Linked DNA regions of Elephas maximus indicus. The protein of the gene in region 1 purifies or fractionates together with the protein of each later gene. This does not show direct contact. Links are inferred from orthologs where the notes say so. Each region holds a gene or a part of one and is shown in the gene's direction. Other genes may lie near its edges.

Evidence for each region.
Region 2: the proteins of ANKRD28 (region 1) and PPP6R1 purify together in Homo sapiens (co-immunoprecipitation; 4 studies listed by BioGRID and IntAct, with this or other methods). This does not show direct contact. The link is inferred for Elephas maximus indicus from reciprocal best matches to the Homo sapiens genes ANKRD28 and PPP6R1.
Region 3: the proteins of ANKRD28 (region 1) and PPP6C purify together in Homo sapiens (affinity purification with mass spectrometry; 9 studies listed by BioGRID and IntAct, with this or other methods). This does not show direct contact. The link is inferred for Elephas maximus indicus from reciprocal best matches to the Homo sapiens genes ANKRD28 and PPP6C.
Region 4: the proteins of ANKRD28 (region 1) and PPP6R3 purify together in Homo sapiens (co-immunoprecipitation; 3 studies listed by BioGRID and IntAct, with this or other methods). This does not show direct contact. The link is inferred for Elephas maximus indicus from reciprocal best matches to the Homo sapiens genes ANKRD28 and PPP6R3.

The regions. Positions count from the first base shown.
Region 1 is NC_064845.1:36,545,125-36,551,949, reverse strand, and holds the start of ANKRD28 (serine/threonine-protein phosphatase 6 regulatory ankyrin repeat subunit A), read left to right. Parts: upstream 1-3,823; 5' UTR 3,824-5,269; coding exon 5,270-5,386; intron 5,387-6,652; coding exon 6,653-6,736; intron 6,737-6,825. UniProt on the Homo sapiens protein: Regulatory subunit of protein phosphatase 6 (PP6) that may be involved in the recognition of phosphoprotein substrates. Involved in the PP6-mediated dephosphorylation of NFKBIE opposing its degradation in response to TNF-alpha.
Region 2 is NC_064829.1:91,749,373-91,756,590, forward strand, and holds the start of PPP6R1 (serine/threonine-protein phosphatase 6 regulatory subunit 1), read left to right. Parts: upstream 1-4,208; 5' UTR 4,209-7,025; coding exon 7,026-7,028; exon of another isoform or gene 7,029-7,059; intron 7,060-7,218. UniProt on the Homo sapiens protein: Regulatory subunit of protein phosphatase 6 (PP6). May function as a scaffolding PP6 subunit. Involved in the PP6-mediated dephosphorylation of NFKBIE opposing its degradation in response to TNF-alpha.
Region 3 is NC_064827.1:76,190,059-76,197,582, reverse strand, and holds the start of PPP6C (serine/threonine-protein phosphatase 6 catalytic subunit), read left to right. Parts: upstream 1-4,517; 5' UTR 4,518-4,614; coding exon 4,615-4,689; intron 4,690-7,524.
Region 4 is NC_064825.1:131,203,577-131,210,735, forward strand, and holds the start of PPP6R3 (serine/threonine-protein phosphatase 6 regulatory subunit 3), read left to right. Parts: upstream 1-4,159; 5' UTR 4,160-4,278; intron 4,279-7,159.

The DNA.
Region 1 (6,825 bases):
GTTGAAGATTCAGTGTGAGTATTTATGATAAATGTTTTCTTCTCCCTATGCTGATTTTTCTTTGCTTAGACATGATAATACAGTGAACTGCTTTCCAAGCCATTCCTAGTCAGTCATTGTTCTTGTCACAATTTGTTGCAACTAGTGTCTCTAACCCATTTTATTTATTGAAAGTTTAAGTAATTATACCTACTTGAGTATGGATGGTAGAAGAACAGGGCTAGAAGGATATATGCCCACTGATTGACAATTAAAGAATAAGATTATCAGGTAGTGTTAGTTTCAGCTCCAAATATCAGAGACTCAAAATCACAGTGACTTATTTAAAAAGGAAAAAGTTATTTGTATCTGAGAAAGAAATGCTTGTGTAACAAAATAGGAACATGAGAATAGTCTTTCACATGCGAAATGCAGGGTGGAGAGGAGTGTGCTGTCACATTGTAGGGAGAGCAACTAGGGTCACATAACAATGTGTGTATAAGTTTTTATATGAGAAACTGACTTGAATTGTAAACTTTCACTTAAAGCACAATTAAAAAAAAAAAAAACAGTCTTTCAGGGCCTTAAGTTTTTCATCAGTAAAATGAAGGTTTAAGCCAGCTTTACCAATATGTGAGTCTATGAACAGTAAGAATAAGCTCTATTAATAGGATACATTTTAGTATAAAGAAAAGATTATGACATTGTCAGGGTTGAATTTGTTGGCTTATTGAAAACTTAATCTAACGAATATGACTTTAAAAGTAACCACCTAAAGAAAAACCACATCCCCTTGCTATTTCCCTAACTGGGGGGGGAAAAAAAAAGTTGAACTTACGGTTTACACAATCTTTGTCAGTAATTTTTCATCAGAAGTACTTTCTCCATTCCTAATTTCTTAATTACTTATGTACCTCTCTCCTTTTCCTTTAAGATGTGAGTTAGGGGCCTTTCTTAATCAGTAGAAGTTAACAAGATATAAAACAGTGCTGTACGGTGCTACTAACTTAGATAATTTAAAAAATGCAGTATTTATCTCTTAATTTTTTTTTTTTTATCTTTGATTATATAATATATGGTAGACCTTTCTCTTTCCCTAGACTGTGAAATACAATGAATGTGGAAGAATGTAAAGAACCTGTGGTCCTATTTCTTAAGTTTACTGGTCCCTCCATCCTACCCCCAGTAACACTTGTAAACTTCTGTCTGGTTTCTGAGGTTCTGATTAGCCTCACAGTTACTAAGAGGATGGGTGCCTGCCTGTGTGTGGTTAGCCCTATATCTGCTCATTGATTTCACAAGTGACATCATTCAACTACTCTGAATATCTGTAATAACAAGATTATCTTATTTAAACTTCACAGCAACACCATGAAGTAGGTTCTGTTGATGTATGTCGTTTAATAGATTTTGGAATGAGACACAGGTTAAACTTGCTCAAGGTCACACAGTGGGAATCTGGATTGGAATCCAGGCAGTTTGATTAAAAAAAGCTTTAATTATCAATCACTTTGCTGTTACTCTGTTTCTCCTCAGTAAAATCCCTGGGGATTATTATTCTAATTTTATAAGTGTGAGGAAACTGAGGCTCAGGAAATTTAAATAGTTTGCCCAGGGACACAGCTAGTAAATGATGGAGTCAGAATTTGAACTGTAGATAGGCTGACTCCTGAGGCCTTATTTTTAACTATATCACTGTTTTATATTAGCTACTAAATTTAAGTTGCTCACTTAATAGAGATATAAAATTCACTTTATTACTCATTAATGCTTATGTTTTCTCATTAAAGCATATTGTCTTTATAATTCTGCCACTCTATTCTAAAGTCTTGCAACATAGTAGAATTTATTTCAATGAAATTATTTCCAGGTGGAAGAAAGCAGAAGGAAACAATATGTATATAACACAGCCTCTGCCTTCAAGGAGCTTGCTTTGTGGTTGGGAAAGACCTAAATATGGAAGTTGGCTTAGAACAAGAAACAGGATATACCTGCTTCAGTCTTAAGTAGGTGAATTTACACGCTAGCTACTTTGGAACAAGTTAAAATTGCCTATTTAAAAAGAAAAATATCCTGAAGATAGAATATAGAGTATGGTTACTATAACGGTTTCGTTTTCAGATATTAAGATGTTATTTTTGATTCACCTTGTGGAGCTGGTTGATAGCATTTTTGTGTATCAGGATATTTGCAGGCCTTTAATGTGGCTTAAAACTATTTTACATTTTAAGATACAACTCTCTGAATTGTTAACATGTTTTAGTACTTTGGTTCAGATATGTAAGGTTTATAGGCTCTTTCACAGATTGATATTCTATGGCTTTTAACGGTTTTTATTAAATTTCTGGCATTCTTAGATGCTGTTTTGTGTGTGGGTATGTGCGTGTATGGTTTTGATAAGTAAATTTGCTTAACATGTGAGTGAAGACTAGCCCTGAAACACCCATTTAAAAATAACTTTTTGGAATATTATTGCAGTAGATAGTATATTACTTTATTACCTAAACTTTTCACGACCATCACAGAGACCGCCTTTTTAGCTAGCAAAAATCTTGAGAGAGTGTGTGTGTGTATACACACACGATGAAAGCAGAATAAAAAAACGTGTTTGGAGTTAGCACAACTTTACCAATTTGCATGACTTTGAATAAAATACCTAATTTCTGAGTCTGGTTTTTCCTCTATAATATGGAAATGTATCAAGCTTATGGAGTGTATTAAGTGGAAATGTACAGCACCTAAACCCAGTGCCATCGAGTCTGCTCCGACTCATAGGGACCCTATAGGACAGAGTAGACCTGCCCCATAGAGTTTCCAAGGAGCGCCTGGCAGATTCGAACTGCCAACCCTTTGGTTTAGCAACCGTAGCACTTAACCACTACACAGCACCTGACATGTCATAAATGTCTAAAAAAAGCTATGTTTATTAATAAAAGTATATGTTGATGAAAGAAAAAACAGATTTAAAGGGGACGGTGGTATTTTCTTTGTAATTTTTCTGTTGGCAAATATCCTCATTAGGGACACTTGTAGCTTTGAGGAAATTCTTTATAGGGGAGAGAGATTCTTTGTTTTCTTTGTGTTTATCTTATGCCCTTTTGGCATACAGATTGTTTGGTACCAAGGACTTTACACAGTTGTTTTGTGCAGCTATTTAACAGATTCTTAAGGCTTTATTCCATTTTCCAGATGGAAAGGTAGGTTTAGTTAATTTCTTCAGTTAAAATGCAAATGATTTATAGGATATTAGAGTTAGAATTTCTACATTGTGAAATTTTTAATTTTTCACTCTAAAAATACGAATTAATGATTGAGTACATTCAACTAATTAAAGTTGTTAGAAAAATCATAAATTTTTTTGTTTAAACTTTGTGTTTTTAGAAATAACATACATCTGCTAGGTTAAAAATGGTCTCAGTTAAAAAAAAAAAAAAGAATAAAACCTTTACTAGGTTCCTGGTTTTTGTATTCTGATAAAACGTTTGTCTTCATTTCTAAATCTTTTTCGTGGGTTCACCGCAGACATGTTCTTACTGCAGCTGTCATTACAGGGTTAAACATTTGCTGTATTGTAACATACGAAAGCGGTTAAGCTGTTTGGAATTGTTTACTTGCTAAAACCAGTGTTAGTCAGCAGAGGCAGTACACCAGATTTCCTTGTGGCTTTTAGTGGAAAATGTTAAAAGCGCACTCGTTTTTCAGTTATAGAATTTTTCGGTTTGATCTGGATTAGTCACAGAACTGGCATGAGTTGTCTAATTGTGAAGGCTGTCCAAATGCACTATTTTTTTCTCCTGCTAGAGGAAGTTACATCCTGAGCAGTAGCTCAGATCTCTGGTAAGTGTAACATGTGAGCATTACTAGGCGTTTCATCCTGCGGGTCTGCAGTCTTTGCTCTTCCGACTGTTGCCCAGTTGGAATGCTTCTGTGGAGCCGATCCTGAGGTTGTAGAGAAATTTTTGAAGGACCTACTATTTGGGGTGTCCGTGGTTTTTTGCAAGATCATCTGAGAAGCAGGAAAGCTTCTGAAGTCTACTGAAAAGGATAACTGAAGTGGTTTTCACAGTGGAAGGAAAAACTCTGTTGGCACAGAGGCAGATGATTGAATAAAGTAGTTGGTTCAAAGAAGATGCACAGTCTGCTGTTTTTTTCCTCTGAATGAAGACTATTTAATGGGAGCTGTATTCGTGTGGAGATCAAAGGAAACACTGGAGTGATAAACTACTGCCTTTTTTTTTTTTCCTTTTTCTTTTTCTCCTCTTTCTTTTTTAAGAAAAAGCCTGAAGCCGTAATTGGAGCTCACATGCCTTCTAATTCCTTTGCAGACTGCTTGTTCTATTAGGATTCTCCTCTAACACCGTTTCTGCCTGGTGCCCTTTTGCTGGAGCAGCTACAGACCAACTGCCTGATGTAGAAGGAATGAATGATCTGCCTCGCTTATGCTATTGATGGAAATAAAGCTATCCATGTTTCTTCTATTATTTGGGAAGTCTGGATTAATCAAGCTGTATTCTAGTACCAAGAGTCCTATTGTCCCCTGTGGGCTGACTCATCGTATGTAAATGTACTGCAGCTTTGCTATTAATGCAGAGTGGTGTTTTTCCCCCCTTTTCTTTCTTCCAAAACACAGAAAGAATTGTCAACCTCTAAGCATCATTTTCGGAATTTGTGCTGAGCTCTAGATACTTTTTTTTTTTTCCGGGTAGTATCTGCATTAAACCAGTGAAGCTGAAGAAATGAAGACAAATTAGAAGTGGAAACAGAATAGTGAGATTTTTTTTTCCAATTATAAGAAAGCCAGCTACTGGTAACTATATGACCTTGCAGGCAAGAGTGGGTATAGCTGTGATCATCTCTGTCTCAGCGGTTGTTTCTCATTTCATTTCTACATCGTGTGGTGTTGTATCACCAAAAACAGTGACCTTTTTGTGCAAGTAAATTTAGAGCAATAGGACTATTTTGGCAGGGGAAAAGTATTTTTAAGTGAGCTTGTACTGGACTCAGTTTTAGTTATTGACATGTTAATGTGAAATTTCTTTTTAGGTATTGCAGTAACCCAGCAGAAAATAATAAAATTTTGTTGTTTTTAGAAAGTTACAAGCTTGTGGTCATAATTTTAAACTTCAGTTTTTCCAGTAGTACCTAGTAACTTAAAAAAAAAAAAAAAACAGCTGTGCTGTTCGCAGAGAATGTTTGTAAGTGTTGTACAGAAGAGGAGGAAAAACTACTTGTGCTCTTCCAACTGTGACTTTTACCATATAGCTTTGAATTTAGTATTTTAAAAGAGCGAATGAGTCGGGTGTGTATTGTTGTTTTGGAGGAGGTAGAAGATGAATCTCCTGCATTCATTTCTAAATTGCCACAGGAAAATAAATCCCTACATTCTCTACCTTCTGGAAATGTATTGGTAAGATATGAGAGTTTATATGTTTACCGTATGCTACTGAACTATTAGGGGGAATTTTATTTTTTAAGAGTAGACATAAGTTAGTTTCCAATAGTTTAATTAAAAATCTGAATTAAAGCACTATAGATGCATAACTGTGATGCAGTCTTGCTTGTGTGTAAAATACACACGTTTCTCATTTTTAATTTTTTAAATGCTTAGATAACATTTCAGACTTTACTGTCTTAAAAAGATTTTTGAAAAATAGTAGTTATGGCAACCACGTTTCTGTTTTCATCATGTGGTTTCAGAAACCCATGTAACAAGAAACAGGAACTCTGCATGTTTTAGGAAAGCTTGACAACTACCAGCAACACTGAGGCATGGCCTTTTCTGTAATGGATTTTATGTATTTACATGCAAGACTTTATATGAAAAAGAACCAAACTTCATCTTTAACTTTATTTTTAATGCTTTGTTAATGGCTTCTTTCACTAGTATAATATGGAATCAGAGAGACTGTGTTGTAGAATAGGAAATTGTTATATTTAGACCATGCACGTGTTTGTCTCTTCACGCCATTCAGGTATATGTATTTTTTTTGTTTTTTCTATAACAGGTATTTTCATCAACTGCCAAATTTGCCTTCTTGGGATCTGTATGTTTATACATATAGTGCTAACCCATACAAGTTATTTTGATGCCCTGAATAAGCCTTTCTTCACGGGCTTTAGCATGGGCTGCGAGCTGCTTGTTTAAGTTGTATCCCACAAGTAGATACTGGGATGTCATATTAGCGTTTGGAAGACTTTATGTATAAATAAAAGGCTTCAACTTAAAAGGAAGAAAATAAAATCTAATTGTGTTTGTTATACCACCTTATTTAGGTCAAGCTGAGGTGATGTATTTTTTTTTTGCTATTGCTGGGTGCCATCAAGTCGATTCCAACTCCTAGCGACCATATAGGACAGAGTAGAGCTGCGCCATAGGGTTTCCCAGGTTGTAATCTTTATGGGAGCAGATCCCTGGATCTTTCCTCCCTGAGAACAGCTGGTGAGTTTGAACCACTGGTCTTTAGGTTAGCCACTAAGCACTTTACCCATTGCTCTCCCAGGGCACCTGTTTTCTTTCTCTAAAGGCCGTTTTTTCCAAGAAGGGATCTTGTGCTTTAATATGATTTGGCTTCAGAAGACTTCTGGTTTATCTCAAAAGGGAAGACAATTTTTAGATTTAGGATACCATTTGGTAAGTGTGACTTAATGTTTTTATTACTCTCTTATATTTCAGCCATCACTGGTGCAAGCTATATTTAATGGAGATCCTGATGAAGTTCAAGCGCTAATATTTAAGAAAGAAGATGTTAACTTTCAGGTAAAACAATTAATTCACTGATTCTAACCTTTAAAATGACTTTTTAAAGCTCGTTCTCAGACTTGTGACTTTTATACAGATATAACAGT
Region 2 (7,218 bases), on another chromosome or scaffold:
CAGACTGAGTCCAGCACAATTAGATGGTGCCCAGCTACCACTGACTGCTTTGACAGGGATCACAATAGAGGGTCCGGGACAGAGCTGGAGAAAAATGTAGAACAAAATTCTAATGCACACACACAAAAGATCAGACTTACTGGTATGACAGAGACTGCAGAAACCCCGAGAGTACGGCCCTTGTACACCCTGTTAGCTCAATAATGAAGTCCCTCCTGAGGTTCGCCCTTCAGCCAAAGATTGTAGACAGGCCCACAAAACAAAACGAGACTAAATGGGCACATCAGCCCAGGAGCAAGGATGAGAAGGCAAGAAGGGACAGGAAAGCTGGTGATAGGGAAGCCAAAGTCAAGAAGGGGAGAGTATTGACATGTCACGGGGTTGGCAACCAACGTTACAAAACAGTATGTGTACTAATTGTTTAATGAGAAGCTAGTTTGTTCTGTAAATCTTCATCTAAAGTACAATGAAAAAATTACAGCCTGGAAAATCCTACCAGGCAGTTCTACTCCGTCTCGTGGGGCTACTCCAAGGCACCTAACAACAAGAATATTGGGGAAACTACAGCTGAGTCAGATGGGTCTTAAAGAATACTGGCAAGGTCTAGAAGAACGCTTCCCATTACAAAAGGCTTTGTGCAGCGACTAGGAACAGAGAATGACTGAAGTCAGGCCCAGAGGAGATGTCAACAGAGAAACAAACAAACAAAAAACCAAGCCCGTTGCCTCCGGTTGATTCCGACTCACAGCGACCCGACAGAGAGAGAATAAATAGGGTGAGGTCAAACCACCTTAGTTTGGTTGGAGAGAAAGGCTAGATTGCTTCCAAGAGGGAAAGCCCGGGATGGATTTCCCAGCAGCGCGACCCTGGAGCCAGAGTCGGTATATAGTTGGAGAAGATCGAGGATACAAAAAAACAAAAAACAAACCCGTTTCCGTCCAGTCCATTTCGACTCATAACGACCCTATGTGACAGAGCTGACGAATTTCCAAAGGAGAAGAGAAAACCCGGGGCAGCATTCCTATTGGACTCTAGAATGGAATCGTAGAGAAATTGGCTCCTGGGTGTGCCCTGGTGGTGTAAAAGTGGTTAAGCGCTGGGCTCCTAACAGAAAGGTCATCGGTTCAAACCCACCAGCCGCTCCGCGGGATAAAGATGTGGCAGTCGGGTTCAGTCAAGGTCACAGCCTTGGAAACCCTTTGGGGCAGGTCTACTCTGTCTGATAGGGTCGGCAAGAGCCGGAACTGACTGAACGGCGGTGGGTTGGGTTTGGTTTTGCTGCAGTGGCGCCTGCGCACCGGGCCGCCTGGGTTTATCCGGGGAGAGACCGTTGGCAGAAACTGGCGCAAGCGGGGCTGTGACAGCAGCGGCATTCCGGGCGGGCGGGGCGGGGAACGCCTGGGCCCGACACGCATGCGCACTACGGGGCGCGGCCGCGGCGCACCTGCGCACGGAGAAGCCGCGGGAGGGCGGGGCCTGTAGCGTTCTCGGCGCTCGGGGGATTGTGGGATAGTGGTGGAGAGCGGCTGGGCGTCGGAGTAGCCGGAGTGCGGACGCCCCGGACCTCCGCTGGTTTGGGGAAAGGAGGGTTGAGGAAGTGGGCCTCGGCTTCCGTCGGTGGCCGCTCCGCACTGCGTTCGGGCCACAGAGGAGGACATCTTCCCCGCCTGCCCTCTGCTTTTCCACGGGGTGCAGGGCTGAGGAAACCGGGGCGACGTCCCGTTCCCTCGCTCAGACTTCTCAGCCCAGCTCGCTGCCCGCGGCTTCAGTCGTCGAACCCCGGAGGTGCCTGCGCGGGTCCCGTGACCTCCCCACCCAACGAACCCCGCGCTTACCCCCGAACTCAGCGGAGCTAGGCACGCGGGGCCCCCCATTGATCAGAGGGCGCGTGCGCGCCGCGCAAACCCCCGACTGAAGCGCCTGCGCACCGAGCGCCCCGCGAGACCACTGCGTCGCCCCCCGCCCCCACTTACCGGGTCCCTGAGCAGGGGCCGGAGCCGCCTGCAGCGGGGCGGGGGGGGCGCCCCGATGAGCCCCGAGTGCGAGGAGCCGCCGCCCCCCCGAGCAGGTGAGCCGGCCGGATCCCGGGACCCTTCCCCGGAGTCCAGGCCTCCCGAGTCTCCGCTCCCCCCGCCCCGGGCCCTCTAGAGCCTTACCAAAGTACCCCTCGGGGCTCCCCAGTCTCTTCCCTGTCCGGGCCACCCCCCATCTTTCTCCTCGGGCCTCTTCCGTTCCTTCTTTGGGCTTCCCCCTAGTCTGTGTCACCTCAGCGTCCACCGTCTCGCCTAAAGTCTCCATTTCTTTTCTTTGGCCTATTCCCAGCCCACCTCCCTCTTCCCACTCGGCCTCCCCAGTCTGTTAGTCTCTTCCCCTGTGGTTCACCGCCAGACCACTATCTTTTTATTCTTTTTCGGATTCATTCCCCTCCTCTTCTTTTCTCACCCACCCACCCACCACCTTCTTTCCCTCTCAGACTCACCCCCCCCATCTTTTCTCCGTCCAGCTCATCCCCAGCTTACCTCTTCCTTCCCCCTAGGTCCCTCCAGTCTCATAGTCCCTCCCTGCTCTGCTTCATTGCCACTCTGTCACCTCCTTCCTCCCTCAGATTCACCTATCCCCCAGTCTCTTCTTCCTCTCTCCCATCCCCCCAGTCTCTTAGTCTCTTTCTTCCTCACCTCATCCCCTTCTTCCCTCTCGTACTCATTCCCCCTGCCCCAGTCACTTGCCCCTCCAACCCACCCCCTTCCACCATACCTACTCCTCTCTGGGACTCACCCCCGCTCCCAGTCTCTTCCCCCTTGAGCCTGCCCCCCTCAGTAGTCTGTCTCCTCAGGCACCCCCATCTCTTACTACTGAGACTCTTCTCTCTTGCCCCCATTCTTTTGCGTCATGCCTTTGCCCTCCTTCCTGCCTTCCTGGATTCACTGGTCCCTGTTCATTCTGATCCTTGGGCTCAGGACATAAAGTAGTGGCGCTTTCCCTTTACCCTGGCTGTGGGTCCCCCGTACCTGGTGGTCTTTGGCTTCTGGTTGTGAGGAGGGATCTGGGAGCCCGCGTTCTCTGGGGCGGGTCCTGTTTTTGAGAGGAGGCCTGTTTCTGAGGGCAGGGTGGGGTACTGGTGCTGGACCCAGAGAGGGGACGCTGCCCTGAAGGAGGGATGGGTCCCTGGGGAGACAAAGGCAGAGCTGGGCAGTCACAATTACTGTGTGTGGTGATAGAGGTAACTCAGGGCACCACTGCGGGAGCCCAGGGAGGGGCAGGGACTGGCAGGACTGGCCAAGCCAGTGGCTTTTCTGTCGAGGAAGGTTGAGTGGGAGTTGACAGATGGAGAGTGGGAAGAAGGGCATTCCGGGTGGAAGGAACAACCAGTGCAGATACGTGAAGGTGGGGGTGTTGGAGGGTCTGAGAGAGGGTATATGTTGGGGGGAGTGGGCAAAACACCTAGAGCTGGAGCTGGTTACCTTGGAGGTGGTGTTCTGGCGAGGGTCCTTCCTGCTCCTTCCTGTACCATGTACACACACACCCCTGTTTGAGGACACAGGCGTTACCATTTACACCAGCCTGGAAAGCAAGATGTTTCTGGAAAGGAAGGTGTGTTGTCAGATGTGGGACTTGGTTAGAGCTTAGCAAAACTGCAGCAGGGTTGCAGCCAACTTGAGGAAGAGGTTCCACCTCGGCTCTCACAAGGTGACAATGGCAGTGACTCAGAATTATCTGGAGAATACAGCGTGTGTGGTTTGTGTACATATCCTGTATGCTAACATGTACGTGTAGAAACGGCCACCACACCCTGGGACACGCACTTACCACGTGGAATGGCAGTTGGTTTTACTTGCTCTATTTAAAATGTTATTTTCTCTGTTCTCTTTCTTTTTTAAAGCTTTTTTCTACTGCAGCATCATTTTGTGTAAATTAAATGAGACCACGTGACTTGTTTTCTGGAGTTTTACACCACATTTGGGAGGCAGTGAAGGCTAATAGTTTAGAGTGAGCTCTTTTGTTGGACAGACCTAGGTTCAAGTTCTGGCTGTCCCACTTGCTAGTGGGGTGACTGTGGACATGCTGATCAGAAGCTCTGTGCCTTCTCTTCCTCATCTGTAGAGTGGGGACAAAGTGCCCTCCTCATGGGGTTGTTCCAGGGGTTAAGCTTGACGTATGTAGAAGCTCATAGCAGAATGCAAGGTAAAGAAGCTGCTCCAGGATCAGTTGCTCCTGTGATTATTATATCTGGCTTGGGATCATCTATTGCAGCATTTCTCAGCTGGGGGTGATTGTGCCCCAGGGTACACTTGGCCACATCTGGAGACATTTTTGATTGTCACAACTAGGGGGAGGGTGCTACTGGCCTCTACCGGGTCAAGGTCAGGGATGTTGCTAAACATCTTAGGATGGACAGGATAGCTCTGCATGACAGAGGATTGTTGTTAGTTGCTGTTCAGTTGACTCCAACTCATGGCGACCCCATGTACAAAAGAATGAAATGTTGCCCAGCCTTATGTCATCTTCATGATCTTGGCATGTTTGAGTCCATAGTTGTGGCCAATGTGTGTTTTGAGTGCCTTCCAACCTAGGGGGCTCATCTTCCAGCTCCGTATTGGACAGGATTCTGTTGTGATCCATAGGGATTTCGTTGGCTACTTTTCAGACATAGATCACCAGGCCTTTCTTCCTAGTCTTAGCCTGAACGCTCCACTGAAACCTGTACATTATGGGTGACCCTGCCGGTATTTGAAATACCAGTGGCGTAGCTTCCAGCATCTTAGCAACATGCAGGCCACTGCACTACGACAAGCTGACAGACAGGTGGTGGGAGGCAAAGAATCAACCAGCCCAAAATGTTAACAGCGCCAAGGTGGGGAAGCCATAATTTCTTGTTTGGGTGTAGTTGGGCTTATCTACTTTTTTGCTACCTGTCAGTGGCTGTGTGGCTCTGTGCATCATCATGTGTTTGGATTTACCTTTCTTTTTTTCGGTAGTTAGCCTCTGTTGGCCCAGCTACTGTTGCTTTCCGTTTGAGGTATATCTACTCCCCCTCGTCCTCCACCCCTCAGATTTTTTTATTCAGGCTCTCTGGTCAAGTGACCTCAGCAGATCATCTTCCCCCGCTGATGTTGATTTTGTTTTTGTCGTTGGTTTGTGACTTAGGAGAACCCTATGTGTTACAGAGTAGAAACTGCCCCGAAGGGTTTCTTGGCTGTAATCTTTATTAAAGCAGATTGCTAGGCCTGTTTCTTACACAGTACCTACTGGGTGGGTTCAAACTGCCAACCCAGCTGTGTGCACCACCCAGGGACCTTCACCCTCCCCCTCTGGACTTTAGCCTTTGCTAATTTAGCAAGTGCCCTGAGCTCTTCTCTGGGCCTGGCCTTGCTCTGGGTCCTGGGGAACCAGCCCCTTCAAGGGCGTACGGATGACTAAACAGGCAAATTGCATCACTGAGCACCCCGGTGCTGGCTGAGGGGTGGCCATAGACACAGGCCCCCAGTGATATCGTGGGGGGCGCGGTGGCTTCCTGGAGGAGGTGCCTGGTCAGAGAACTAGAGGAGAGGCAGAGGGAGCTGCACGTGCAGGGCAGAGAGGAAGGGATGCGTGCGGCTGAATTTTGAGAGCCATGTGGGTTGCAGCAAGAGAGAGGTGAGAGGCTTGGAGGCTCCAGTGGGTTGCCTTCCCCAACTGCCTGGCACATGGCTTGTTGGCTGGGGGGCATAATCCCCTTCCCACCCCAAACCAAGTGTCTTCCTTTGAGCACCAGCTTTGTGGGTCCTTCGCTGGGAAGTGCTGCCTGATGGTAGCCCTGTGAGGGGTTTCATAGATGGGGAGACAGAGGCCAGTGGTGCTCTGCCACCTGTTGTAGATTGAGTTTGGGCAGGTGAGATTTGCCGCACCCAGACCTTCCTGACTTAACTGCCCTGGAGGCTCCTGAGGCTGTAGCACTCTGCCCGCTCTGCTTTTCCAAGGGCTCTCCGTCTTAGAGTATATTCTTTGATCTTGTCTTTTTTCCAAACCTGTGGCCAATGCAAGAGATGAGTCCAGAATGTGAACATTGGAATCCCCCCTACCAGTTCTCAGCAGTTGCTTCTGTCTCCCAATTTCTTCATCCCCTGGGGTCAGGCAGAGCTGGCACCTCCGCTGGGAAGGTGTGATCCAGAAGGCATAGGGGAGGTACCCCCTAACGGGGAATGACCCCCGTCCCCAGGCTTTCTAAAGCCTCAAGGCTCCCAGCCCCAGCCTGGTCTCAGCTTGTCATTCTGTGTAACCTTGGCCAGGTCCTTTTGCTCCTCTGGCCTCAGTGACCCCTTTTCATTAGTGGCTGTCCCCGATGCCTACCTTGCCAGGGTGGTGGCAGCCCTATGGGCCCTAACTTGGAAGTTGCTGGGGTCGTTGTTCCATCCCATGGGAAGCCCCTTCCAGTCCTGGCATTGGCATCGGGTGACCTGACCTCCCCTCAGACCCTGGGTGCTGGCTGGGTGAGGGGGAAGTTGGCGGGAGGCTCTCCTGCCATCCTCTGAGCTGCCCTGCTGCCGCCGGGCCCTTTAAGGGGCTGGGCCCAGGCTGCCGTCCGCTGCAAGCAGGTTCTCTTCCCCGCACTTGGACTTGCCCAGCCAGTTTCTAATTAGAGCGGCAGCCCGTGGGCCTGTCATCTCTGCAGTGGAGGCGGATCAGTGGCCTGCGGTGCCCTCTCCTGAGGCCCAAACTGGCCTTCTCTGCCCTCTGATCCCGCTTGCCGAGGCATAGGGCCCTTCAGGTGGCCTGTCCTGGGAGGCCCTCCCAGCGGCCCCTGGGCCCTTCACCCCCACTTCCGGGTGCCTTGGGGCCAGGGCAGGAAAGACGGGTGGTGGGGAAGAATCGGCTGGGTTCCCTGGCAGCCAGAGCTGTGTTTGGACTACAGCAGCCAGCGGGACGGCTCTTTGGGAGCTGTAGCTAGGCCCTGCCTGAGCCTGGGGCAGGGCCTGCAGGCTCCAGAGAAGGAAGGCAGCTGGTGTTGAAGGCCTCAGGAAACAAAGCAGGAGGAGGAACGAGAGGTGATGGTGAGGACCTGGCAGAGGGAGAGTTACAGAGGTAGTTTTCGTTTTTCATGGCCTCCTTTCTCATTTATAAATCCCCCTTCTTCCGTTTACAGCCAGAGTCATGGTTTTCAAACGGTTGCTGAAAACCATTGGTAGTCACTTCCGCTTTCTAGAAGTTGCTGAAAGTTGCAAAGGATGGGGGTGGGGGTGC
Region 3 (7,524 bases), on another chromosome or scaffold:
GAACACTAAGAATGCATTCTAGTCACCAAGCTCTACACAATGTCTCCATGCCACAATACCAGATGTGACTATCACTTTTTGCAAGGACTCACCCAACAGTCCCGAGGATGCTTTTTTCTTTCCTTTCCATTGTGGATGTCAGGAATGAGGTTTGCTCAGTGAGATGGGTCAGCAGGAGGGAACGTCTTGCTTCCAGTTTGGTAACGTGATGACTGCCACCTATTTTTCACTAGAAGGGGATACCACCAGCTTTCATTACCTATCTGTTCACAGACCCATTAGCAAAGGAAGACAATGATGCTGGTGACACTTTCCTTTTAAGCACTTCACAGTCTATAAAGAATGTTCACATCCATCTCTCTATTTGCCCAGACGTTTAGAGATGAAAAGTGAATTGCCAGATCTCCAAAGAGGACTGTAATAAAATCAAACAACAGGAGCAACAAAAATTTCCAAATGGGGACATTTTTCTCCAAGAAACTCTTAGTATATTAGCTCTCTTAAATTCCTCAGTCTTAAATGTTACCTCATCTGAAGGACCTTCCTTCCCACCTAATACTCAGACCTAACACTCAAATTGTACTCTGTGCAAAACACTTTTAAGTACATATTAACTCTACTAAACCTCAATACTAGTCTCTTCATAAGAGGCTGGTACTATTATCCTCTCTATATTGAAGCTGAGAAAATTAAAGCATAAAGAGGATAAATACATTGCCCAAAATCACACAGTAATTGGTAGAGTCAGGATTTGAAATCAGGCCATTTGGTGTTAGAGTCTGTATACTTTATGTCTACCATACTGCCAACCTAAATTCGGTCTCTTCTACTCCATTTTTCTTACTCGCAATATCCCTTTTTTCCCTTTTTAGCAGTAATCATAATTTGCAATGAAATATTTGCTCATTTATTTGCTTATTATTTGTCTTCTAGAAAACTCTAAACTCCACAAGGGCAGGGACCATAGCTGTCTTATTCACATCATGGGCATTATATAACTATTTGTTTTATGAATGAAGAAATGAATGCTTATGGGCAGCATTCATTCTGCAACAACATTTATTTATTTCTTGTATAAGCTTCATTTCTATTAATCCAAATTAGTGAGTTTTTTTTTTTTTGAACTTTAGATGAAGGTTTATGGAACAAACTAGCTTCTCATTAAACAGTTAGTACACATACTGTTTTATGACATTGGTTAACAACTCCATGACGTCTCAACACTCTCCCTTCTTGACCTTGGGTTCCCTATTACCAGCTTTCCTGTCCTCTCCTGCCTTCTAGTCCTTGCCCCTGGGCTGGTGTGCCTCTTTAGTAATGTTTTGTTTTATGGGCCCATTTAATCTTTGGCTGAAGGATGAACTTCAGGAGCGACTTCACTACTGAGCTAAAAGGTTGTCCGGGGGCCACACTCCTGCGGTTTCTCCTGTCTCCCTCAGATCAGTAAGTCTGGTCGTTTTTTGTGAGTTAGAATTTGTTCTGCATTTTTTCTCCAGCTCTGTCTGGGGCCCTCTATTGTGATCCCTGTCAGAGCAGTCAGTCGTGGTAGATGGGCACCATTAGTTGTACTGGGCTCAGGCTGGTGGAGGCCATGATAGTTGTGGTCCGTTAGTCCTTTGGACTAATCTTTCTCTGTGTCTTTAGTTTTCTTCATTCTCCCTTGCTCCGAAGGGATGAGCCCAGTGGAGTATCTTAGATGGCTGCTCACAGGCTTTTAAGACCCCAGATGTTCCTCACCAAAGTAGAATGCAGAACATTTTCTTTATAAACAACACTTATTTTTAAAATTAATTTTATTTTGAAACAACTTCAAATTTACAGAACAGTTGGAAGAATAATACAAAGAACTTCACGCAGAGACCTCATTAAAGTTTACCTAATTGTACCAAAAATATACTTTAGAGCATGAGGATCCAGTCCAGGGTTACTTTAACAAGAAATACTCACTGAATACTACTGTATTATGTAACAGTCTTCTAACTGGTCTCTCAGCTGTAACCATTGCTCTCTACATTTTCATACAGCAGCCAGAGTGAGCCTTTAAAAAAACAAGTTAGATCATGTTATTCCTTTGCTCAAAGCCCTGCAATAGTTTCCATTCCATTAAAAGTAAAATCAATGCTCTCCTTTCCTCCATTCCTCTGATCTTCTCTCCTACTCTTGCTCCGAGCACACACTTCCTGTTTCCCAAAGACTCTCGATACACTCTTGTCTTAGGGCTTCTGCACTAGCTCTTCCTATGAATTCACCGAAGTAGCTGCATGGCTAACTTCCCATCTCTTTGTTGGCTCTAAAAATACAATACTCTATCTCCCTTACCCTGTTTGTTTCTCCTCTATAGTACTTATCATTTTTTTTATAGTTATTTATTATGTTTATTGTTTATGTTCTGTTTTCCTCTGCTAAAATGTTGAGGGTAGGGATCTTTGTCTATTTTGTTCACTGAATATCCCAAACACCTACAACCCTACTGTTCTTGGTGCTAGGGATTAAAAAAAAAATAAATAAATATATACACACACACACACACACACACACATATATAAGCATGTGCTATGTCATGCATCATATATATATTATATACACACACATATACACATAGCCGTGAACCGTATAATGTCTGTTTGGGCAATGTTCAACCATATATATGCCCGCGGTCCCATAAGGTTATAATAGAGTTCAGAAATCCTGATTGTAGAACAGAACATTGTAGTGAATGCAATGGCTTCCAGTACATAACACATGTATCTCATGTCTCTTGTATACAACGCAATTGCTCTGCTAAGTGTATAATGGTACAGTACATACATAACATACAATATGTCTTGATAGTCATAGTAAACACCTGTTAATGGCTTATGTATGTACTGTACTTCCTATTGTCATTTTAATGTGAAGTTTCCCTACTTAGCAATAAAAACTTTATTATATAACATTGTATGCTTCAACTTGTAGGCAGCAGCATCCGATCTCATGTATCACACATCTCTGGAGTGTTGTACTGTTATCTGTTTAATTTTGTTTCAAAAATATTACCACACAGTGCATCATGGCTCCCAAATGCAACAAAACCAGTGCTAGTAATGGCAGCAGTAAGAGGCAAAGGAGAAGTATTGATTTGGAAGTGAAATAAAAGGTTACTTAACAACAACATTAAGGTGGAAAATCAGTGAATGCTCTTGCTCACGATTTAGCCATGTTGCTCTCAACAATCATGACGATCCTCACAAATAGAAAAAATTCTTCAAGCTGTTAAAGAATCAGTTCCACCGAAAGCTACAAGGCTAAAGAAAACGCAAGAGGGATCTACATCAGATATGGAAAAATTGCTAATGACATGGATTGAGGACCAAACACAAAAGTGAACCCCCCAGCACACTGATGATCACTGCTAAGGTACAAAGTTTGTTCGAGATGCTTAACGAAAAAGCAGGACCAGACTACAATGCTGAGTTTAGTGCTAGCTCTGGGTGGTTCACATGCTTCAGACAATGGTTTTCGCCGCATAGTGTTAAAGTGAATGGTGAGTCTGTGAGTGCTGATACAAAGGCAGCAGAAGAATTTGTTGAAACCTTAGATAAACTAATAGTACAGGGAGGTTATTTGCCCCAGCAAAATTGTATTATGGACAAAACCTCTTTATTCTGGAAGCAAATGCCTGAATGGGCTTTCATCCTTAAGGAAACCAAGTCAGTGCCAGGCTTTAAGGTTTTTAAAAACAGAGTGACAGTATATAAAATGGTGTCTGCATGTCTAAATCATATAATGTCCTATTCCACAGAATGTACGGTGGACATTAAGCGATGAGTGACTCTCTGTATATATCTGTCCCTGCCCTCCTGAGACTCACACTGAAGTATGTTTAAGCCAGCAGACCTATTTTTCAATCTCGGCTCTGGCAGGTATTCCCTGTGCCATTTTGGGAAGGTTCCTTAACCTCTCCTGTTTCCTATGAATCATTATGAGGATTCAGTGGAATAACAGCATCTGTAAAGCATTTAGCATAAGAAATATTTGAATATTTGTTTTCCATTCTTCCAGGAAGGGAAGATTGGGAGCCTGACATCTCTGCCACAGGTTTAGGCAAGGTTTTCACAAGGCCTCGGAAAGGTGCAAACAGGTTACCATGGCTAAGCTTACCCAATTTTTAACTGGAGATGTTCTGGTAAGACAGAGAGGCAAGTACTTAGAATGGTCGGAATGAGAAACCAGGAAATGGATAGGGAAGCTTACTTTGCCGTTTTTCATTGGAAAATCCTTGCCGGGTACCCAGAGGTGAAAGTCTAGAGGGAGAGACGGGAAAGAAAAGAGGAATAGATGGTCACAAATACAAACTACAAACCCCAGCATTCCCCGCGGCAGACAACTACAACCCCGGCCACTTTCGGTCGCCGGGCCGGGGGCTCTAAGGTCCTGCAGCCTGCGTGCAGCCAGAGAGGGCGTGAGCCGTGCCCAGGCAGCATGAGGAATCAGGTCGAGCTTTAACGTTGCTGCGCAGACGCCTCTCTCACGGCCGGACGTGACGTAGAAGAGTTCCGGCTTCGGCCTCTGCCGCTGCCGCCGCTGCTACAGTCGCCGCTGCCGCCGCCGCCTTTGCGGCTTCTTTTTTCTAAAATGGCGCCCCTAGACCTGGACAAGTATGTAGAGATAGCGCGACTGTGCAAGTACCTGCCGGAGAACGACCTGAAGGTGAGTCTGGCCAGGGCGGGAGCCCTGCTTGCGGGGCTCGCCCCTTCCGGCAGTGGGGCTCCCGCCGTCCCGCCCTTCCTCCGCGGTACACTGCCGGGTATCCCGTCCCGTCGCTGTGGACGGCCCGGTGCCGTACAAAGCTGCTCGGTTCGACCTGGCGTCACGCGGAAAGCCCAGGAGCCCAGGTCCCTCGAATGCCGTCCTGGTTCCCTCAGCAGGAATCCCGAGGGAAGTCGCGGCTCCTGCCCCAGAGTCACCCCTTCTGGCACCAGGGCTACCCCAGGACTCCGAGCCCTAACAGCCTTGTTTAGAAGACGGTTCCCCCCGACCTCCACCCCCGGGTTTCCCGGAGTCCGAACCGAGCCCTAGCCGGCAGTGTTCTCGAGATGGGGTCGTCTTTACTAGAGGTGACAGGAGCCCGGGGTGACTGGTGTTTGACGGGAGATACCGCCGGCGTCCCGGAACGCAGTCCTGGTGTGTTTAGGTTACTGAAGAGTGGGAAGGCGATTGGCCAGAGCGGTTTGGTACCGATGTGAGGGAACGTCAAGTTGTCCTCCATTCCAGTTGCTGTTTAGGAGTGTTGGTTTTGTTGTACTAATTCAAATGCGAATTAGGTTTATGAGTATATTACTGAGCTAAGTTAAGAGTTATCCTTAGTTGAGGTAGTAGGACCTCAGTAAATACAAGTGCTTTTCTGTCTTTTAAGTCATTCGCCCACAATCTCCTTTTAACTCAAGATCTCATTTTCTTTGTTTTCTAAAGGAGGTGAGTTGTTCTTGTTAACTGCCCAGTCCTAGTAAGTAAGAGTAAAGGAATGAATGTCAAAGTAGAGGAGTATAAGTCTTTGTTGTACTGGTTTTTAAAAAAGTGTTTCTATGTGCTTGCTAAAATAAAACCAATACTTCGGTGTCTAGAAGTTATTTACCTGTTAGTGCTAATACCTGTTTTATTTGTTCACTAAACTTTGATCTCTTATGTGGTAAGGGGATAGATAAATTGTTGGTCGTTTGAGTTCTTTTTATTCTTTAAGCTATGGGTTTAAAGCAATTTATCTCTGTTTTTGAATTCTTTATCGTAAAGAAGAGATTACTGTCTTTTTCTTCTGTTGTCTCCCTTGGTACAGAAAATTGATATTTAACATAACATCAATCAAACAAGTATGCAAAATGTTTAAGGTCACTTGTGCTGTTGGGAATGTACTTACGAAAACCAAACCCATTGCCGTCTGAGTTGATTCTGACTCATAGCAATCCTATAGGACAGAATACAACTGCCCCATAGGGTTTCCAAAGAGTGGCTGGTGGATTCGAACTGCCTACCTTTTAGTTAGCAGTCAAGCTCTTAACCACTGTGGCCACCAGGGCATGTTAATTATATATGCCATATGATAGAATTGTGGTGTTAGCGAAGAATACTACATATACCACGGACCGCCAAAAGCACGAAGAAATCTGTCTTGGAAGAAGTACAACCAGAATGTGCCTTAGAAGCAAGGATGACAAGACTATGTCTCACATACTTTGGACATGTTATCAGGAGGGATCAGTCCCTGGAGAAGGACATCACACTTGGTAAAACAGAGGGTCAGCAAAAAAGAGGAAGACCCTCAATGAGATGGAGTGACAGTGGCTGCAACAAGGGACTTAAGCATAACAACGATTGTGAGGATGGCGCAGGACCAGGCAGTGTTGCACGACCAGTCAGTGTTTTGTTCTGTTGTGCATAGGGTCACTATGAGTCAAAACCAGCTCGATGGCAACAACAACAACATGATAGAGGAGTCATTCTTGTGTATTTTTTCCCTTTTTAATAGGACTGTTTAATTTAAATGAGAACAAAGCAGATATTAGTAGTGTAGCTTTCATGCTAATCAGAGTCCTTCAGATATTAGCTTTGTGACTTCTTTCTGCTATATGCTTTTTTGGGAAACAAGAATATAACCAACACTGGGACCCAATTTATGGGAAACTAAAAAAAAAAAATTTTTTTTTTTTAACCATACCTCTTTTGGTAGTATTGTTAATCCCATAGCTGAAGTTGATCGTTGCATATCAATGAATTGATGTGAAATTTTGTTTTCTTTTTATTAATCATACTGGAACTGTTTTAAACTTTGTGTCTATAAGAAGTGTTGTCTTTTATTAGGAAAATGTGTCTTAATATTGACTTGAAATTGGATACTAAAATGATTTGAAAAATAATCAGTTGGATTTTCTTTAGGCCTCTTAGTTTGATAAACATTAGCTTTTCTTCTCACTTAGGAAATAGTAAGCCATTTCATTTTCTTTAAAAAAAAAATTGACAGCAACGAATTTCATTTTTTTTTTTTTTTTTTTGGTTTGGTACTTAGCTTGCATGTTTATAAATAAACTTTTTTTTTTTTTAATTTTGAATCTTCTGAGCAACTACTGAGGAAAAAGAACCTTAATTTTTCCATATAAGTAGAGGATTTCCATCTTTGTCTTGGTGTATTTAAGGAAATTTGATTTTATTTTTGTTTCTTGGCATGAAGTGCAAACCAAAATTAGTCTGACTAAGAAAGTATTTCAGGAGCACCTTTTCTTAGGCTTCAAAGCCAAGATACAAGATTCTGTCAGAGGAGGGAAAGAAGTTATGAGGGCCACTTAATGATCTTAATGGAAAAGATTTGTTCTAGTAAAAAAGAAAATAATGGAAATTTACCTGTATTAATTTTAGATTGACTAGAAGTTGGAGGTACTAATGAAATAGTAAACGCATAGCATGTTCTAGATCTGAGATTTCTCTTTAGCTAAATTGGAAGTGGTTATATCACTAGTACTGGATCAAACCTACAAAGAGATCCTGTGATTCTCA
Region 4 (7,159 bases), on another chromosome or scaffold:
GGTACTGGCTGATGCTTTGATGATGACGAGTCAACGCTGTGAGTCGCCATCGATTCTGACTTGTGGCGACATCATGTGTGCAGAGCGGCGGGGTTCTGAAGGGTTTCCAAGGCTGTCACCTTCTGGAAGCACACTGCCAGGCCTTACTGCCGAGGCCCCTTTGGGTGGGTTTGAACCTCCAACCTGTTGGTTAATAGTCCAGCACTTAACCGTTCGCACCACCCAGGGACTCCCTGAGTGAGTAAATCGATGTGGGTAAATCAGTGGTGGCTGGGACCTCCCCAGGCCCCCCAGGAGGGCAGGGCAGATGTCAGACGCCAACTGAGCTGTCCCTCCTGCCCCCTGCCCAGCTTCCCTTAGGTGCCCTAGGGTTCCCTGGAGCCCCTCTTGTGCTCCCTGGACCAGGCCCTCTGGCCTGGACTCCTGTGCCACCCCCTGTTACTCTTGCTCCAACCTGACCTTCCTGAAGTATGGGCAGCCCTGAACAGGTCCCTCTCCTGCTCTGAAGCTTTCTCTGGCTTCCCGTCTGAGCATAAACCCCAAATTTCCTCCCCTGTCCTCCAAGGACTCCCTGGCTGGTTCCCGACCTGATTCCTATTCTTATTCTCATCCCCAACCCCTCTCCCAGCCCCAACCCCGCTGCCATCCCCAGCCCTGTCCTCCAAAAAAGTGCATTTCCCACACTGCTCCACCCCGCCCCGGGTTATCTGTGACACACCGTCCCTAGCCCTCCCCTGCACTGAGCACACCTTCTGAATCTGTTTCCTTCTTGACTGTGTCCCTCACTAGCCTCAGTGAGCAGCAGAGTCAGTGTGAGCAACATCTGCCCTTGGTTTCTGCCTCCCTAGAGGCCCAGCACCCTCAGGGCTTGGGCACAGGCTGGTTGATGTTACCACCTGCACTTTACACATAAAAACCATAAAGTCAGAGAAGTTAGATCACCCAGCCACTTGGGTAGCACTTGGTGCCCAAATGCTTCCTAAAAAAACCAAACCAGTTGCTGTCCATTCAATTCTGACTCCTGGTGACCCCGAGTGTTGCACGGTAGAAATGCACTCCACAGGGTTTTCAAGTCTGTGACCTTTCGGAAGCAGATTGTCAGGTCTTTATTCTGAGGTGCCTCTGGGTACGTTCAAACAGCGAACCTTCCTGTCAGTAGCCCAGTGATTAACCATTTGTACCACACAAAAAACTAAACCAAACCCACTGCTGTTGAGTCGATTCTCACTCATAGAGACCCTAAAGGACACGGAGAACTGCCCATAGGGTTTCCAAGGCTGTAAATCGTTATGGAAGTGAACTGCCACATCATTCTCCTGCAGAGCTGCTGGTGGGTTCGAATTGCCAACTTTTAGGTTAACAGCTGAGCGCTTTAGCCACTGCATCACCAGGGCTCCTTTTGTACTACCCAAGCCAAGCCCGTTGCCGTTGAGTCAATTCCAACTCATAGTGACCCAGTAGGGCAGACTATAACTGTTCCACGTGGTTTCCAAGGAGAAGCTGGTGGGTTCAAACTGCTGACCTTTTGGTTGGCAGCTAAGCTTTTAACTACTACATCACCAGGGCTCCTTTGCACCATCCAAACAAACAAGAAAAACCCAAACCTGCCACCAGACTGAGTCCAGCACAACTAGATGGCGCCTGGCTACCACCACCAACAAGGATCACAATACAGGGTCCTGAACAGACCTGGGTAAAAATGTAGAATAAAATTCTAACTCACAAAGAAAGATCAGACTTACTGGAGAAACCCCAATAGTATGGCCCCCAGACACCCATTTAACTCAGTACTGAAGTCACCCCTGAGGTTCACCCTTCGGCTGAAGATTAGACAGGCCCATACAGTGAAAGGAGACTAAATGAGCACACCAACCCAGGGGCAAGGATGAGAAAGCAGGAGGGGCTTGGAAAGCTGGTAATGGGAAAGCCAAGGCCAAGAAGGGGAGTGTTGACATGTGGGGTCAGCAACCAATGTCAGAACAATATGTGTATTAATTGTTTAATGAAAAACTAACTTGGTCAGTAAACCATCATCTAAAGCACAAAAACAAAACAAAACAAAACAAAAAAAGAAACCCTTTGCGGTGGGGTCGATTTTGACTCCACCAGGTACTCCTAAATGCTCTCCAGGCCTCAGCTAACTAATCTGTAAAACGGGAACAAAGACATTGTTCTGGAGCTGTCGGCAACCAGCTCCTCCTGGAGAGTTTGCCTCCAGCCACAGGGTCTGCCGAAGGGCTGAGCTGGGGAGGTGTGCCCATGTTTGCTCCAGAGACCCGGTTCCCCGGAGCTGACCCAACAAGCCAAGTTGGGCCAGATTCGCCCTGCAGTACCAGACTCTTCAGTGAGCTGGACGAGTTCAGGCCAGCTGGGGCCTGTGTAAGGAGCGAGGGCAGGGGTGCAGACAGATACTGAGCCCAGAGGTAGGTAGGCGATCAGAACCAAAGGAGGTTGGAGGCGGAAGACGCAGCGTGGCACCCACTCGGCTGGTCCTGCCCCCGCCCCCACCTGCAGTGGCCAAGTTCTACCCCTGGAGGCAGCCTGGGGAAGTCTCAGTCACCCAGGTACCCTATTTGACCTGGAAAGACCAAGCTGGCACTACAGGAGCAGCTGCTGGCAGAGGCTGGGGGAGACCTGCCAGCCCCCTGCCTGGAGCCCCCTCTGTGGTTCCAGGCCCGGAGTCCTCTGAGTAATGCGCCTCAGGGGCTGTTGAGTTCCCCCAGGCCTGTGGCACTGTTCTAAGAGGTCTCCGTGACCCTGCCCCATTGCTCACCACTGCCACTCTTCCTGTCCTGTCCCTCTCCTGCCACCCCCAGCTTCCTCTGTACCGTGAGCACTCCAAAGCCCCACCTTGGGGTCTCTGCGCGGGTCTCAATCCCTGCCACGCCCGACCCAAGAGCCCACGGCTTGTCCCTCCTGTCCTGCGGGCTTTGGTGGAAATGTCACCTCCTCGGAAGGGCGTCCAGCACTCTCTGCCACCAGCCGGTCGGCTTCCCTGATGTTTCTCTGGCTGCGGACTGAGTGTCCGAGGCGCGAGGACGTCTGCGCCCCTGTACCCCACAGTCCTTGCACACCCGCAGCGCCCAGTACAGAGCTGCTGCACGAACGGACAGGCCAGCCTGCCTGCTGAGGTCCCCATCCCAAGCACATCCTTGGGGTGCGACCTCGCATCCGACTCCACTCGGCGGACCTTGTTTGTCCTTTTCATCTCCTGTTTCTAACTGTTGCCCTCTTGTTGATTTCCGTGCGACTCTGAAAGGCGCCTCCAGTCCACGCTGGGACAAGGCAGGTTGTTAGGAAGCGCCGACGGCGGGCGCCCGGGACTCGTGGGTGTCTCGGGCCGGTTCACCGGAAGGAAAGGGGGTCCTGTGGCCGGGAAGCCTCTCGGGGAGGAGGAGCCCCGGCGGTTCTGTGAGCCACTCGAGTGTAAATCCTTCTCGACGACAAAAGGGACACGCCACCCCATCAGTCCTGCTTTCCCCCGCGGAGGTGGGCGCCACAGCGAGAGAGGGAAAGCCAGCTTTCCACCTTGACCCGAATCCCGGCACTGCCCCTTGGCGCGGATGAATGGCCAACGGCACCTTTTTACAAAATGCAGCGTGGAGAATGCGGGCATCGATCCCGCTACCTCTCACATGCTAAGCGAGCGCTCTACCACTTGAGCTAATTCCCCAGCTCTGACCCATTTCCGTCGCCGGGAAGCACATAGCGCTCACGTCATCATTCGCGTCCCCGTGGCCGCGTCCCCGCCCCTGGACATCGGGTTCATCCATTGGCTCCCCTGCCGCCCGATGCCCGCGGCCAGGATTGGTTTGGCTCCATTCAGTTTTAAAAGGCATTGTTTCCTCGGATTGGTGGTCAGCAACGTCCGTCAGGCGGAGTCCCTGCTGTTGCTATGGCGCAGGGGGATTCCACCAGGCTTCTCCTGGTTTCTGATTTGTTTCTCAGGCTCCAGGGTTCTAGAGGTTCCGGATCCGTCAAGTCCATGGGAAAAGAATGCGCCCTTCGCACTTGACTGATGCCTTCCACAGGCCAATCGGAGTGGAGGCCGCGGAGCTGAGGACCCACCCAATAGGCCGCAGGGGGCGGGGAAGGCAGGCCAATGCGCGTTGAGCTGGGGGCGGGGCAGAGCGGCGATTGGCGGCGAGGCGGCCGGAGGGAGGGCGGGGAGCTCAAGGCCTGCTTGATACGTCCGCCATTTTGGGCGCTTCGCTGATGGTGTCGGTGAGCGCGTTTCCCGCCTGAGCGCGACTTGCGGCAGGTCGCGGGCACCTCCAGGTAACCGCGGGGGGAGGCGGCGGGCGGGCCGCGGCGCAGGGGGCGCGCGGCGGGGCTCTCGGCCGGGTCTCGGGGCGCGGGCAGGAGCGTCCGGTCCCTCTTCCCCTCCCCCCCGGAATAAGCTCGCCCCGCGGCCCGGAGGCGGCGAGTCCTCCGGCCGTCCTCGGCCGCCCTGTCAGGCCGCGCTCCCCGCCGAGGCCCCGTCGGGCCGGGCCGAGGGCGGGCGGCGAGCCCGGCGGGCAGTTCTGCTCCCGCCCGGACGGGCGCGGCCTGCGCGGCGGCGGCGGCGGCGGGCGGGCGAGGCGGCCAGCGGAGGCGCGCTCTTCTCGGGGCTCCGGCTCCAGGCGTCCCGCCGCCCGGAGCGCCGCCCGGGGTCCCGCGCGGGGCCTGGGGGTCCCCGGAGTCCCGGGCCCGGCCGCCGCTCCCTGGGAACTTGTCGGTCGGGCCGCGGGAGCGGCAGCAGCTCGGGGGCGATGCGCGAAGGCCATTGTTGGACCCCGCTCCCCGGGAGACAAGTTTTGTCGGTTCCAGGTAATTCGCCGCAGAGTCGGGAGAGCCGCGCGGGTCCCTTCGGGGTATTTAGACGCCTTTCCAGGTGATCTCAGACTCCGCTGCTGTGACTCGAACGCAGACCTGGTCGCGAACGCCTCCCGGGCGAGTGCGAGCCTGGGGGATGGTCCTCCTGTGGCTGGGAGTTCCTCCCTCTTAAAGAAGCCCCAAACCAAAAAGACCAGACCCTCTGTCCGACTCCTAGCGACCCTATAGCCCCGGTCCTTGCTAACTCGGAGGTCGTGCCTCCTAGCTGGGTCCTGCTGGCTTTGATTACAGGCAGTGGACAGAACGAGCCTTTAAAGGGTGGACCTCTGCGTCCTGACTCCTTAGCTTCATAACTTCATGGAATTTCCTCGGTTCTGGACGTTTTCTCCGTAGACGGGTCGAGCTGTGGTTTCTGTGTTGGGTTTATGGGAGGGGCACTTTGTGGTTGATTTCTCTCATCCTCGCAGCTCTTGTTAAGGTCGATATTATCCCATTTAATTAATGGGACGGGTACTTTGATTTTGTCCTCAAGGTCAGGTTGGAAATGGACAACAAGTGGGAAAGGGACTCCAGGTTTCCGCCCTTGCAATGTGCCCTCAGTAGCAAGTGTGTGATACGCGGTTAGCCGTGGTGGTTGAGCTTTCTTCACTCTGAAGTTAGACTGTCTGGATTCTAACTCCAGTGCTTGACCACTTTCTTGCTCTGTGACCTTGGGCAAGTTGCTCAACCTCTCTGTTTCCTTTGAAATATGGAAATAATAATAGTGTCTACCTCACAAGGTTGTTGGGCGTAAATGATTTAATACATATGAAGCACTTAGAACTGTGCTTAGCACATAGAATCAGCGCAGTAATTTGTGGCTATTATTAATTTAAATTTGATTTTTAAATATTTAGATACTGTTAGGAAGTCGAAGGAGCCCTGATGGCACAGTGGTTAAGTGCTGGGCTGCGAACTGAAAGGCCAGCAATTCTAATCCGCTAGCCACTCCAAGGGAGAAAAATCTGACAGTCTGCTTCCATAAAGATCACAGCCTTGGAAACCCTGTGGGGCAGTTCTGCTGTCAGACAGGGTCGCTGTGAGTTGTAATCAGTTCCATGGCAGTGATTTAAGAAGTCAGATGAGTGCTTAAGCCCTGGCTCTTGGTAACCATCTTCAGAAAGCTCTGTGTATTAGGAGCTCGTTGGAACTGGGAAAGTGAACTGGAAGTTATTGTCATTTTTTCTGGGAAGGGGTAGTTGGAGATTCAGCTACATACTTTGCCAGAGCAATTGGTGGCCTGTCTCAGGATGTTCTCTGTACCAGGTGGTTAAATACAGAAGAGCCTGTCAAGAGCTTGAGTGGGACTCTGTTCCTCCTGTGCTTCTGGATACCATTTACGAGTGTGACTGGCGAGTCAGTATTCGGCGCCAAATAAGTAACTCAGGCGTTTCTCAGTGGACCCCGTAGGTTGTTAACTGAGATTTGGATTAACACAGCTAAGATGTTGAAAGGTTACTGGGTATTGAGATATACTTCAGTGAGGATAGTTTGGGAAATAATTCTAGTCCTTGATAATGGATACTTGGAAAGCTATTTTGTCCCTGTCTGATCAGGGAGTCTAGGATGTTTTACAAGATGTCAGCCACCCAGTCACACATACCCTTACAGTCTTACTTAACGCCCTGTGTTCTTCTCCAGTGTGGTGCCCAGAGCCCTGCTTGCCTTCCCTGGGTGGTGGTTGCTTGGGATCCAGCTTGCTTGGCTGCGCTGGAGAAGTGTGTTTTCCTGTGCCTAGAAGAGATGAGCAACTTGCTGCTGTATCAGGACTCAAGAACAGGAAAAAGATTGTTTTTGGGTTTAGAAAGCTTTGACTTCTTTTATGTAAAGTATAGCAAAAAACCTTCAAACTCCCTAGTTTCATTTTGCTGATGGAGAATTGGCCATAGCTGGACAGGAAATGAATAGTAATAGAATTAAGACTTGATGTAGGGTGGGGTTTATTGGAGGGCGGGGTTTGTCGGAGGGTGGGGTTTGTTGGAGGCCACATTTTTGCCTGTTTGGCGCAGCAGTAACGTGCTTATTACAAGTAAACCATCTTTTTTATTTATAAAGCAGAATATTTGTCAGGACCAGTATTTGGCTTCTGTGATAAACCTGTATCTTCCACTTTTGTGTTTTCAGTATTTGAGAGGCAGTATTATATATTGGTCTGGAGCCTTGGTGGCACAGTGGTTAAGAGCTCAGGCTGCTAACCAAAAAGGTTGGCAGTTCAAATCCTCCAGCCGTTCCTTGGACTCCCCACTGGGCAGTTCTGCTCTGTCCTAGAGGGTCGCTATGAGTCGGAATCGACTTAACACCAGGA